Drosophila melanogaster: one gene and its partner. Changing the gene in region 1 together with any one later gene gives a genetic interaction. Each region holds a gene or a part of one and is shown on either strand. Other genes may lie near its edges.

Region 1 (7,270 bases):
TAACATAGGGAGTAATGATCTGGGTAGTATGGCCGTTTTCGCGGGTGATTCACTTGCGTCCACCTGCTGTTGCAAGCAGCCAAGTAGACAATTGCGTTGGGTCTATGGAGCGCATGGAGTGGGTGGGAAACGTTTGCCAACAGGCTGCGCTATTGCTGATCCATTGTTGGCCTGGCTTAATAACGAAACAGAAGTATAAAACAAAAAAAAAAAACAAAAAAGCCAAATCAAACGCTCTTCATGAGCGGCGGGAACTGCGCTTTACTTGACGTGTAATGTCTGCTATTTGGAGCAGAAACACTAATGGTCATTAAGCACACTGGTAAACCCGCTTTCCACATCCAATCCCCAGCTCCGCGTCCCAGCCTGGCCAACGGCTTCAACTTCTTTAATCGGAACTTCTGGAGTTTCGGCCAGCAGAGTCTGGTGGCAGTGCGTCCGCCCACCAAGCAGGCCCATCCGCCGAAAAAGTTTAGTCCCAAGGACGAAAAGTCCGGCCAACGAAAAGTGGCCAAGACCACTAGGAAACCGATGGATCAGAGAACGAGTACAACTAGTCGAAGCGCAACAACAACTAGCACACAAAAACCCACTACAGATGGACCCTTTCGCATTGCACTGCCCACCTTGAACTTCCCACGCGACAACCAGGATAAGAACAGGGATAGGGAAACGGAGAAGGGCAAGAGGTCGGCTGCCGAGCTGCGCTTGAGGTTCGATTGTCCGCGGGAGAACGAGGTGAGGTTCCAGCTATTCCCCAAGATCTGCAAGGCGGATCGAGACTGTGCCGTGTGGCAACGGGATGAGCTGTGCTGTGATATCTTTGGAGCAAGCAGCTGTGTCTCTGGCGTTCCAAAGCCGCTAGAGGAGACTCCACATGCTCGTAAGTGGGTTTAATCCTTAGCTGCTATAGATATTATTCAATTTATTGCTCTTGCTAGCCATTCTGGGCTTGATACCTCGCAAGTGCCCGAGTAGACCGCTCGCCGAGCTCTGGTGGGACGTCCAGGAGTGCTCCACAGACATGGACTGCTGGCCAAGGGTCTGTTGCCCGGATGGGCGTAGGAGATACTGCCGCACCTCGCAGCCGGAGTTGGAAACAGCTCCAGTGCCAGTGAAGCGATCCTTCGACTATCGTAAGTTAAAAGTTTTCCGTATGATAACCGAAATCAATCGAAGCCTTGCGCTTTTCCAGTTACAGAGTACCTGGAGTGCACAGCCCCGCCGCCGCCCATCTTTGACCTTCATCCCAAGGCGTGCACCTCCACCTTGGATTGCTTTCCGAATGTGTGCTGCCAGGAGGCGGGACTGCGCCACTGCCGGCCGCCCAAGAAGTCCGTGCTCACACTGATGGCCAACTTTCTCAACGTGGACTTCGTGAAGCGACTGGCACAGAATATCGTTATCAAGTAGGGCGAACCGTGAATTTCCCACTATTTTTCAACGTGCGTCGAGCACCTTCGACAGAACCATTTCGAAACCGCCGTGAAATCTCGCCCGGGTTTGTTTGGCCACGCTGATAACCAAAAAGAAGATATGCCCACACCCATACCATTCATAGACATACATATGTATGCACCTTTGTATACTGCGCACCCCATCCATTCGTAATTCTCCATTAAGTATTGTTCACCTAGCCTAGTATTAGACCTAAGCTGCATTCGTAGGCTAGCAAAGTAAATAAAGTATATATGTATGTATACGAACCATAAACTCCATCTGCGGCTTTTCCACTGGAGGTCTGAGGTGGAGGTCTCCCGTAACCCTACGCCTCCTAGGTCACTTCACCCGACTGCCGTGGGGTTCTTGTTCTTGACTTATTTCGTTGGTATATCGTTTATATGCCGGGTTCTTACACTTTCATGTTAATTGCGCGATCATATTACATCTAAAACTATATGGCACTTTTGCGCTATAAACGAGGCATTTCACAAAACAGACTGAGCAATAATAAGTCTACAATCATATATTTCTATGAATCACCTATAAAATAATGGAAGCCGATTTAAATATGAACTTTCATTACCCATTTCGTTGTTATGCCTAAAATCGTTTTAAATTTGATAGGGTAATATATTTTTATTATTTCTAAAGCTAGTATTCTTTAATATTATCCATTCGATAGCGGCTATATTCTAACGCCCGCAACTGTATTTTTATCTACAAGTCATGAGTTCAAGCCGCTGTGCTTTGAAACTCAATCCCTCAGTCGCTTCAGAAGTGAGGCATCTCAGATTACCATATTGCTCAACTGACTTTAGTGTTATGTACATATGTATATGCACATTGTGGAAAACACTTGACCATCCCATTTCCACGACGCATATTGCCGACCACGTAGCTAGAAGCTACCTCCAATAAAAGCGAATCTAACCTAGAATGCCGCAGACCAATTGATTATGCAACCCGAAAAGACGCAGTTAGGCATCAATTACTTTAATTGGACATTTATTGCAGGGTGTGTAGAGAGACAAGATGCAGCGCCTCTACTCCAGATCTTTTTTGGGGGAAAGCTCACTCGGAGCAGCCGCAGGCGGATTTCTTGTCGCCGCCGCACTTGCAGTCAGATCCGCAGTTGCAGGATCCCTTGGTGGCCTGGCTGGCGCATTTGCATCCTGGAAAGAAGTAGAATTTAAAAATTAGTACATGCTGGTACATCCTGTAATCCATAAGCCATATAACATTAGTGTTCCATTTTATAAAACGCAGTTGAAGAACTTCTTTTCTTAGAGAGACGAACTCAGAGATTTCACTTTGCAGATAGTTTCAGCTTGAATTTTTATACTATTGAATCACCATTGAATTTTTATACTAGTATAATACCATTTCTCTGAAAGATCTGTGATATCCTAAAGGATCACACCAGACTGCGAACTTACCGCTTCCGCATGGGCAAGGCATCTTGATTGAGTTGTATTTCCTCGAACTTGTTCACTTGTTTACAAAAAAGGTAGGTATGGGCTATTTAGGCCTTTAGTTGCACTGAGATGATTCACTTGATTTTGCTGCTGACCACAACTGATGCACATTGGCCAGATGCTCTCGGTTTTATACATTTTGGAAACGCGGCTTTACACACGGGTCTTTCGTTCGATTCACCTCTTTTGCACACGCCGGCCGGCTCCAAATTCGAGTGGAGACGTGTGCAGAAGCTTTTGTTCTGCCCGCGAAGAATTGGTTCGGTTCTCCACTTTGGGGACTTGTATGGGATGCAAAGCTCTTGGTGGGGCACATGGGGCATGCGCAGGCACTCTTACTTGCGTACCACATATGTATGGGGGTGGCGGTGGGCGGTGGGGGGCCGGAGTTCTGGGTCTCTTATCGGAACCAGAGGATAGGACGGCCTGCAGCAAAGAGCTAGTCACATCGGGCACCACATCCTGTCCTGCAACGAATTCCAGTGCAACGAAATGCAAGTAAATACTGCTACGCAATAGTTGGGACTCCCACAGATCCTTTGGGGCCATCCCAATTAACGGGTATATGGATGCGGTGGCCATTACTGGCTTTTCCCTCGATTCTCGCGTGTGGGTGGCAAGTGCAGTGCAGATAAAATCGATAAATCCAAGCCAAAATAAAGCGAGGAAAATCCAAGAGCAAAGCGCGTGAGGTGTACGAGGTGGAAAAAAAAACACATACAAAACAACGAGTGTGCGGGAAAACAAAACGTCGGAAAATCGCAAGGCGAGTCGGTTGAAGGGGGCGGGCCAAAGGTGTCACACGGGTCCACCAGGACAATCAAGCGGAAGTGAGCAGTTACGGCTAGTGTGTATTGTGTGTGTGTGTGTGTGTTTGGGGGCGGATGGGATAGAAAACCGTTCCGAATGGGACACTTGTCTTCAAAGCAGGCCTATTTATACCGCACCCGGTCATGGGCAATCATAATCGTGGCGATAATGATGAGGAGAGGCTGGTGCCGATCAGTGCCAGTGGAGCGAAAAATCAATACCCTTCCTTGCCACATGTCTAAAATTAGCGGGATACTCTCACACACATTGTTTGCCGTTATTAAATATACTATTAAAAAGGAGTTCTATCAACTTTGATAAGGAAGTTGTAAGTCAACCAAGGAGTTATGCGGGTTTATATAATAGAATCATATATAATATAATCAACTCATTATCAATTTAAAAGGTTCTTAGAGTTTTTTAGTGTAAAGGAATATACATTTTAAAACCAATTCAACTAATAAAGTGTGTTAACATGCCTACTAGTGTATATCACCATCGGCTTTCGGAAGTTAACTTTCTTTCGCATTTTGTTTTTGTTGCGGGACCCTAAAGTGGTAGTGCCACCCACGCCCACGCCCATCACGTCCCTACCACCCACATCCACCAACTGGCGAACCGGAAAGGTTGTGCGTGCGTGGGCGTTGTGGCCAAGCTGATTTGCTCTTAATTGTTGCAGATAAACGAAAGCATGGCGCCCAAGTAGAACATTCCACCAGCGCCCGACAGCAAGCCAACAAGCTTCAGCTCCTGCTTCTCTCTATTCCGATTTCCACTCCGAGTTTGATATACGCGACCGCGTTCGACCCACTCGAATCCGTATCGGTAACCGGGATGACGGAGCAGAAGAATCAGGTGACGCGCGCTGCACCGGAGCAGAGCAACGATTACCGCGTGGTGGTTTTTGGAGCCGGCGGCGTGGGCAAGAGCTCACTGGTGCTGCGCTTCATAAAGGGCACGTTCCGCGAAAGCTACATCCCAACAATCGAGGATACGTACAGACAGGTGGGTGGGACGCCTGGTGCTAGAGATTACTCACATAATCCGCTGGTCTTCGCACAGGTCATAAGCTGCAACAAGAACATCTGCACGCTGCAAATCACGGACACCACGGGATCGCATCAATTCCCGGCTATGCAGAGGCTGTCCATCTCGAAGGGGCACGCCTTCATCCTGGTCTACTCGGTGTGCTCCAAGCAGAGTCTGGAGGAGCTGCGACCCATCTGGGCGCTTATCAAGGAGCTGAAGGTTGGTCCACTGCCTGACAATCATTTCTCATGTACTAATACGTTGTGTGTCCACAGGGCGCCGACATTCCCAACATACCCGTAATGTTGGTGGGCAACAAGTGTGATGAGACCGCCGAGTTGCGAGAGGTTAGAGGATGTTCCATCTGATCCGTCATATACATACATGCTTAATCTAAGATCTAAGTTACAATCTTCAAGGGGGATTTTAAACAGAAAAATCATCTCTTTAAGAAAACCTCTAATCCAAATGTGCCATCCACAGGTCTCCCAAGCGGAGGGTCAGGCCCAGGCGACCACCTGGAGCATATCGTTCATGGAGACGTCGGCCAAGACGAACCACAATGTGACCGAGCTGTTTCAGGAGCTGCTCAACATGGAGAAGACGCGCACCGTCTCCCTGCAACTGGACACCAAGAAGCAGAAGAAGCAGAAGAAGGAGAAGAAGTCCAAGGACACGAACGGCTCGATACCGGAGAACGGCGATGCGGGGGCCAGCGCCAGCGGCGGGGCCAAGGAGAAGTGTCGCGTTATGTAAGCATCGGATGGCCAAAGAGCCAGATGGCCAGATGGCATGGCCATGTGACCCGGGTCACATTGCGTCGAGCTGAAGTGAACGGAGACGACGGTGACAGACAAATACTCGCCTTGGGGCAGCACCCTTGGGTGGGGGGTTGCTGGCTTAGGTAGCCACCCACACGGGCCACGCCACACCACACCACACCACGCACCGCACACACCACTTACACCATACCACATACCACACACAATCCCCACTTTATCCACATATAGAGTTACATGCATAACGAGACACTTGTATTTAGGAACTGACTGGATAAGTCGCACCACGATTGCAATTACGATTACGAGTATATTTTGCATAGGTTATATATTCTATTCGAGCCGATCAGATCTTTCTAGTCGCACAGAGACACGATACCACGTACTGCATACATATATACATATATACTAATCCAAACACACCACGGAAACTAACCCTAAGTTTGCACATAATCGCATCTGAAACGTAACGGCATACATATCAAATGTTTACATACTTACATACATACTGCATGATCCATCAGCCATTCCATAACCAGATATCGAAACGAAATCGAACGAAGCTATACACTAATATCTCTAATGAAAGCCAAAGTACCTACTTAAAGACATAGAATCTGTATCTACTACGATATGATAACAAAATATTTACATGGATCCATCAACGTAAGACTTCTCCGTGATCGCCACATAGAGAGCATCGCGAGGCAACCGGAAACGGAAGTGGCCGCAATTGGCCGAAAATGGCCGATGCCTCCCCCTGACTATCATTGCTGTTTAACTATTTACCACCTAACCAGAATAATACCGATTCGGACGATTCGCCCCGATCGCCATATAAGCTAATGTATAAAATACTCAAGGCCAACAACACCGACAGCCCACAGTCCGTAAAACAGATGAAAGAAGAAATTCGCAATGGCATTGTGTTTTTTGTATTATATTAAATATGTATGTACAATTTTACACTTATTTGCTGAACTTTATTGAGCAGCTTGAACTTTCTCAGTAGTAGCCAGATCGATCAGTCAGAGAGTTAGCCTAAGTCAGAATCACGTTTAAGTACAATTGCATTCGCATTCATCGTGTGAGCCAAGTAACGCGTACATCGAAGGATATTTGAAGAGCATATGGTGCACTTTTTGCAGTAGCGTAGATGGGATATAAGTTGCCTGTTTTTAAAACACCTACCTATCTATCTATATGTATGTATGGATGGATGTATCGTACGTACGTATAACATAACACAGACCGTTCCCAATTGTGGTATTCGTTATTTAAATAGTTAGTTGGCTTGTGCGTAGAGTCGTAGGCGTAGGAGTTGAACAAATTGTTTCGCATAGTTTGCTGTTGTTTGATATTAAGAGGATAAGTTTTTTTAAATTTTACCAATCGGACTAAGTGAATGATATGCTTTAAACGCTGCTATACCAATTAGCCAAATAGAGGGGCATGTAATTACATTAATTATGATGTTGCTCATCAAACTGGTAACTTTGGCTGCTGGTCCGCCGTCCAGCAGTGCCGGACAAATAAAAGTAGAACAGCCGCCAACACAAATCAGATGGGGGGACATTACCCACTAGATCTTAACAAAAACAAAATAAATTGTTGAATTCGAGTAGAGAAATTATTAATCAAGATTATGATAGCGGACCAATTTGCGTATAAGATTTGTGAAATCAATTTAGATAAATTATCTTGGTTTGCCATAGACCTGGACGATTACGACGA
Region 2 (5,929 bases), 1.5 Mb from region 1:
AGGATCCAAGGACTGGCTCTTGAATGTACTTAAAAATCATTTTTGAAAGTTTAGAGGTTTCGATTGACTTGAACTTTGTCACCTGAAGACTGAGGGCAGTACCCTAAACTAGTTGCATTTATACGCGTTGTTTAATTGTCCAATGCTAGTTAGTTATTCACGAAAAGAACCGCCTTTATTTGCGTGCAAAATTGCACAGGTTGTTTTGAGGGGTGTGTCTTCATGTCTTAAATAATTGACAATTGTTCCCATATTGTCCCTTTCGCAGGAGTGGTTGTTAATTACTTTATTTATGGTCCTGTGAAAATAGCTTCTCTGCTGAACCTTAATCATTCTTCAATCTCAAGAATAGGATACACCCATGTGCACCTATCCTTAAGTAGTGTTCTATGCGCCAAGGGGAAATCTTTGCGTCATCGCTCAAAGTGCATTTCCGCACGTTCCGGGCATTCAAATTGTGTTTTCCCAGTCACAATCGGGGCACCCACATCCGCAGTTCTAAGAAGCAAATGGTAGCGATTTTCAGCCGAACAAACGGCTCTCCACTCAACTTGGGCTGCCGCTCGCCAATCCTCCTCCGCTCCGCCGCTCCACCGCTTCTGCAGGTCCCACTCCTAGCCACTCGGCTCACTCATTTGCCACCGAAACTAATTAGACGCAAATGTGCTTTTGTTCGCCTTCCCATTCCCAGGCAACGCTCTTTGTTCGCATTTTGTACTGGGAACCGGGAATAGCTTTCGGATGATACTGTGGCATACTCTGGCATATGAACAGTTTCCGAAAACAGTTTTTCATATTTATGTTAAAATGTATAGACACTTCCTTTATTCCTTTATGTTACCAACCTAACTAATCCGCAATCTTCTCTTTGCAGAGTCGCAGTGTCCGCAGTATGGCGAGGTGAACCAGCTGGGCGGCGTCTTTGTCAACGGCCGTCCGCTGCCCAATGCGACCAGGATGCGGATCGTGGAGCTGGCCCGCCTGGGCATCCGACCCTGCGACATATCGCGCCAGCTGCGAGTGAGTCACGGCTGCGTGTCCAAGATCCTGGCCAGGTACCACGAAACGGGCTCCATACTACCCGGCGCAATTGGGGGATCCAAGCCGCGCGTGACCACACCCAAGGTGGTCAACTACATCAGGGAACTGAAGCAGCGAGATCCCGGCATCTTTGCGTGGGAAATCCGGGACCGTTTGCTCAGCGAGGGCATATGCGACAAAACGAATGTACCCAGTGTGAGCTCCATATCGAGAATCCTGCGCAACAAGTTGGGCAGCCTGGGGCATCAGCACACGCCGGGAACGGTGATGGGCAGCGGAAGCAGCAGCGGTGGCGGCAGTGTGTCCAGCAATGGTGGACAAAACAATGGCACGAGTGCCAGCAATAATATTAATCTGAGCAATCTGGGTAATCCCGGCGGTGGACCGCACCATCCGCACCACCATCATCATCATCAGTCAGCGGCGGCGGCGGCAAGTGCCCATCATGTGCACGCCCACGCCCATGCCCACGCCCACCTGTACAACTCCATCTACCAGCCGTACAGTGCTGCGGCGGCCTACAGCATGAAGACGCCCTGTGGAAGTCCATCCCCGCCGCAGGGAGCGGGCGGTCAGGGATCAGTGCCCCATCCCCACCAGCTGAGGAGTGTGGCCGCCGCAGCCGCTGCCGCCCACTGGCCCTCCTCCCACTCGGTCAGCGATATCCTGGCCCACCATCAGGCTGTTGCCCTGCGCGCCAGTTGCCAAGTGGGCGTCGGAGTGGGTGGAATGGGCGGCATGGGCAGTACGGTATCCCCGCTGCCGATGACTCCTTCGCCGGTGGCGGGAACGGCCGGTGGTCAGCCACTGCTCGACTGCGAGGGTGGGGCGGGACAGCAGTCGCCGTACAACTACTACATGTACTTCCAGAACGGCGGAATGCATCACCACCATCATCACGGCGGAATGATGGCCGCTGGAGCCACGGGCTTATGATTGGGTGGTCTATAATCAGCGGATTGGTTGCGGGTCTAGCTACTTTCGATCGCGGTTGTTCAGTCTAGGTTACTCTAGTCTAAGAGCTAGTTAGGGAATGGTCTCATCATGGCGCTCACTTGTCACTCAAATTTTAAACAAATGCACTAAAAGAACTTATAATTATCCCGGAAATTTCAAAATAATTTAAACTTTAACTAAGAAGCTTGCAAATACTGGTGTGTGGTTAGGCAAGTACAAATAGATAAAGTGTCGTAAAAAAATGTGTGCGAGATGATTCACATAATCATAAGGTTTGCTTAGTTATATTACCTGCCCAGATGTATCACAGCTAAAATATTTGTTAAAAAGATTTTTCAAGATCTTAACTAAACTAAAATATGTACTATTGTGTGATAGGTGAGTATCGTGATTAGTTAGGCCTTCAAATGTGAGTTGTGGGCTGTCAGGACTCAGACCTGGTAATGTTCGCATTTCATAACGAATTTCATGTAATCCTGGAGATTTAACTTTGCCTTCTTTTTTGTCTCATATCGGATTGTTTGCGTTTTGAGTTCGGGGTGGTCAAAAATAAAGTGTATTGCTTATAAAAACATATTGTAAAGTCAAAAGTATTGAGTAGTACTTTAATCGCTTTAGATGAATACGCGTTGTATAGGTTCTTGTTCTCATGACTACACTATTTGTACAATATGCTCATTAAGTAAACTAGTTGACTAATTTATGCTACGATTACATCAATAACAATTAAACCAAGTGTAACTATCGAATAAAATTGTATTTTTAAACAATTTGTATAATTACGTGGGGACGGGACTTTTTCTTTGATGTGTGAACCAAGAACTGATAAGGGCTTAGTTTATAACAATTGCAAGATATATAAACAATTAAGAGCGATATTCTTGATCTAAGGACAGCACTCGCTCTCGTCGGGATTCTTCTTGTTCCAGCCGAAGAAGAAGTAGCCCAGACCCAGTCCCAGGATCACTGCCAGGCACAGCCAGTAGTTGAAGGTCATGAAGATCAGCATCAGCAGGTACGAGATGACGATCTGCAGCAGGTTCAGCAGGGACTGGACGATGTGCGACGAGGCGAACAAGCGCTGCCAGTAGGTCTGCTCCCTCGGCTCCGCCAGGGGAGCTTCCGAGCAGCATCCTCCGGCTGCCGGAGCCTCGTTCTTCCTACGCTGCTCCGCCGCCAGCTGCTCGCTTGCTCGACGGGCTTCCCTGCGCGCCAGTTGCTGTCGCAGGAACTTGAGCGCCTCATACAGGAAGGACACCAGGAAGATGGCCAGGGCGGAGAGCACGAACTCCGTCACAGTGGACGCCACCCATCCGCGCCACAAAATTCGCTCGCAGTGTCCAGCGTGGAACTGAAAGGATGCGAGAGTGAAAGATTAACTACATAAGAATCCATAAGATCAGTAAGATGAGGCTTAAATACCAGTTAACTACCACTAATTACCACTTAATAACTTTCTAATTCGTATCTATATCTAGATTCCTAGATATCTAATATCTAGGTATATCTATATGGTCACTTTTGCTAAGATGATCCTTAATACAAAAGTTTAATATTACTTTTAGTTTTATAAAATATCAAGCTTAAGCTTTCCAATTAAACATCAACATAAACATAACATTCGAATTAAACATCTTTTTTATAATTCCCTTACAGCGGTATAATTTAACCCATGAATCTTTATTCATGAGACACCCTGTTCGAGCATATTCAATTTGTATTATTTGTATTTGCTGAGAGCGAATAAAGCGCTAGAGAGCGAATAATTCGTTGTGGTTTCTGGCACATAAACATACTTATACGAACTTATACTAGGGAGTGACTAGCCAGAGAATTCAAATTCCAAGTCGGACGAGATATTTGTTTGCTCTCCGTGCAAATCTCATTCAGCTAAACTGGATGAGTGACTTTTAAATTACAGCGTTTAGCGCAGTGGTAAGTGATTTTGTATCAAAATTGTTGGACACAGGAGTTGTGTAACTGCGTACTCACCACCATGATCATAGGGCAGGACTTGGCCGTGCTGGTGCTGTCATCCGAGCCGTGATCCATCTTGGGCTGCTGGTGTAGTATAGATATAGATAGAAGGCGTGGAAAATCCGACTGGCGATCGGGGAGGCACAGTGATAAGAGCTAGACCTGCTGAGGTGCTGAGAGCAGAGCGTTGACTGCTTGAAACCCGCTGCTCGCGAGTGGTTTTTTAAAGAAAATCGCACCTAATCCCCCGACGCGGCGATAGGAAAGTGCGCTTATCTATGGGCAATGGGAAAGAGCGTTATCACCCAGTAGCGGCGATACCAACGATAGTCGCCCCACACTAAGAAAGGCAGCCCAGATACAGTCATGTAAATAAACATAAATGCATGCAGATCTCAGTGTTAGAGGTCAGATCAAAAGATATATTCTGGGTATCAGTTGCAGATCTTTATCTCGAGAGATAAAATCCATAATTGATGCGTCGTGGGTTTCTCTGCGGTTTGCAGCTTAATTTATGGACTCATGGCAAAGGTTCGACAATCGATTCGTGTGCAGAATTTATTGCAATTCAGATTATCAATCATGGGCTAATACAACCCCCTGAAATTGTTGCTGTAATACATGATGTTGAAATAATTCCATTATTTCTTCGCTTCGATCACGGTTTTATGGCTCTAGTCGAGTACATTCATACGTAGGTATATGCCCATATTCCGGCATGGGAGCGATAGCAACCGTCGGCCGCCGGATCGCCGGAGGTCTGCCTTAGTCCACTTGGCTTTCCTAGAGTGTTATTTCTTACTGTGCTATTTCTAACTGGGATAGAATGCCGCCAAAATTGATGGCCGTGCGCAAACCTTCTGCGGCCGTGTGCATAAATTCTACGGACATTCCTGCGCCGTGTGCCAATTTCGAAAAATGGGCGACGTGCGCAAAACATTAACGATATTGCAGAGGGGTAAATGGTTGGGTCTACGCAAAAAAGAGAGCAAAAGCTTTTGCTAAACTGCTTAGGTGGAGATAACTGTAAAGAAGCTTTAGTTATTAGTATTGGTAAAACGAAGAACTACATTCCGCATATGTTCTTCTGTGTTTAGATATATAAATATGACTTTGGTGAAACACAACTCAAAAGTTAACAATTAACACAAGTTGTTTACAACTTTAATATATTTGTCTTTGAAACTTAAATTCAAATTTTTATCGCCAAATGCAGCAGTGCCACCGGATCATATTGTTTTTTCATCTATCCGGCAACTCTTTGTCTGCCTTTACCCGGATGGCAGCCCTTTGACATTCCCAACCAAAGTTCCATTAAACATCTTGCCATTTTTTGACTGTGAGTTTACGAACAAATACAACTTAACATCGTGTGACTTAATGCTTTAATCGTTGAAGGTGCTAGTGCAAGGCAAATCGCAATGTATGCGCTTCGACACCTGCGACTCCAGAGCGCTAGGCACTTCCGCAGCTCTTATGCAGCGGCGGCAACAACAAAACACATGCTGCCCCGGCAACCAGCGCGTGTTCTGATTGGAGATTGGAGCACTTGGGATAAGTCCCGGCTGCAGGATGTATGCTCCAGGAGTTCGAGTACCGCCACTGAGCCCGTGAAGCAGCAAACGCCGCTGCAGGAACTCGTGTCGGCCGCCAAACCCTATGCCCAACTAATGCGAATCGACCGGCCTATTGGCACCTACCTCCTTTTCTGGCCTTGCGCCTGGAGCATAGCGCTCAGCGCGGATGCGGGCTGCTGGCCGGACCTCACCATGCTGGGTCTGTTCGGCACCGGGGCACTGATAATGCGCGGCGCCGGGTGCACCATCAACGATCTCTGGGACAAGGACATCGATGCCAAAGTGGAGCGCACGAGGTTGCGGCCCTTGGCCTCGGGTCAGATCAGTCAGTTCGATGCCATAGTATTCCTCTCGGCGCAGCTCAGTCTGGGTCTTTT

Evidence for each region. Genes that interact genetically often act in the same process or in processes that back each other up.
Region 2: of MtnA (region 1) and Ctr1B, changing one suppresses a phenotype caused by changing the other (phenotypic suppression), as found in Drosophila melanogaster (one study listed by BioGRID).

What each region holds. Positions count from the first base shown.
Region 1 is NT_033777.3:9,781,345-9,788,614, forward strand, and holds MtnA (metallothionein A), read right to left. Parts: upstream 3,027-7,270; 5' UTR 2,902-3,026; coding exon 2,880-2,901; intron 2,616-2,879; coding exon 2,515-2,615; 3' UTR 2,063-2,514; downstream 1-2,062. Other genes in the region: CG12947 (uncharacterized protein), read left to right, coding at 353-883, 942-1,136, 1,196-1,413; CG8500 (uncharacterized protein), read left to right, coding at 4,563-4,733, 4,791-4,976, 5,033-5,104, 5,241-5,513. UniProt on the Drosophila melanogaster protein: This protein binds cations of several transition elements. It is thought to be involved in detoxification processes.
Region 2 is NT_033777.3:8,315,858-8,321,786, reverse strand, and holds Ctr1B (copper transporter 1B), read right to left. Parts: upstream 4,176-5,929; 5' UTR 4,051-4,175; coding exon 3,991-4,050; exon of another isoform or gene 3,781-3,990; intron 3,350-3,780; coding exon 2,885-3,349; 3' UTR 2,582-2,884; downstream 1-2,581. Other genes in the region: Or85a (odorant receptor 85a), read right to left, coding at 1-40; Poxm (Pox meso), read left to right, coding at 875-1,977; Coq2 (coenzyme Q biosynthesis protein 2), read left to right, coding at 5,397-5,929.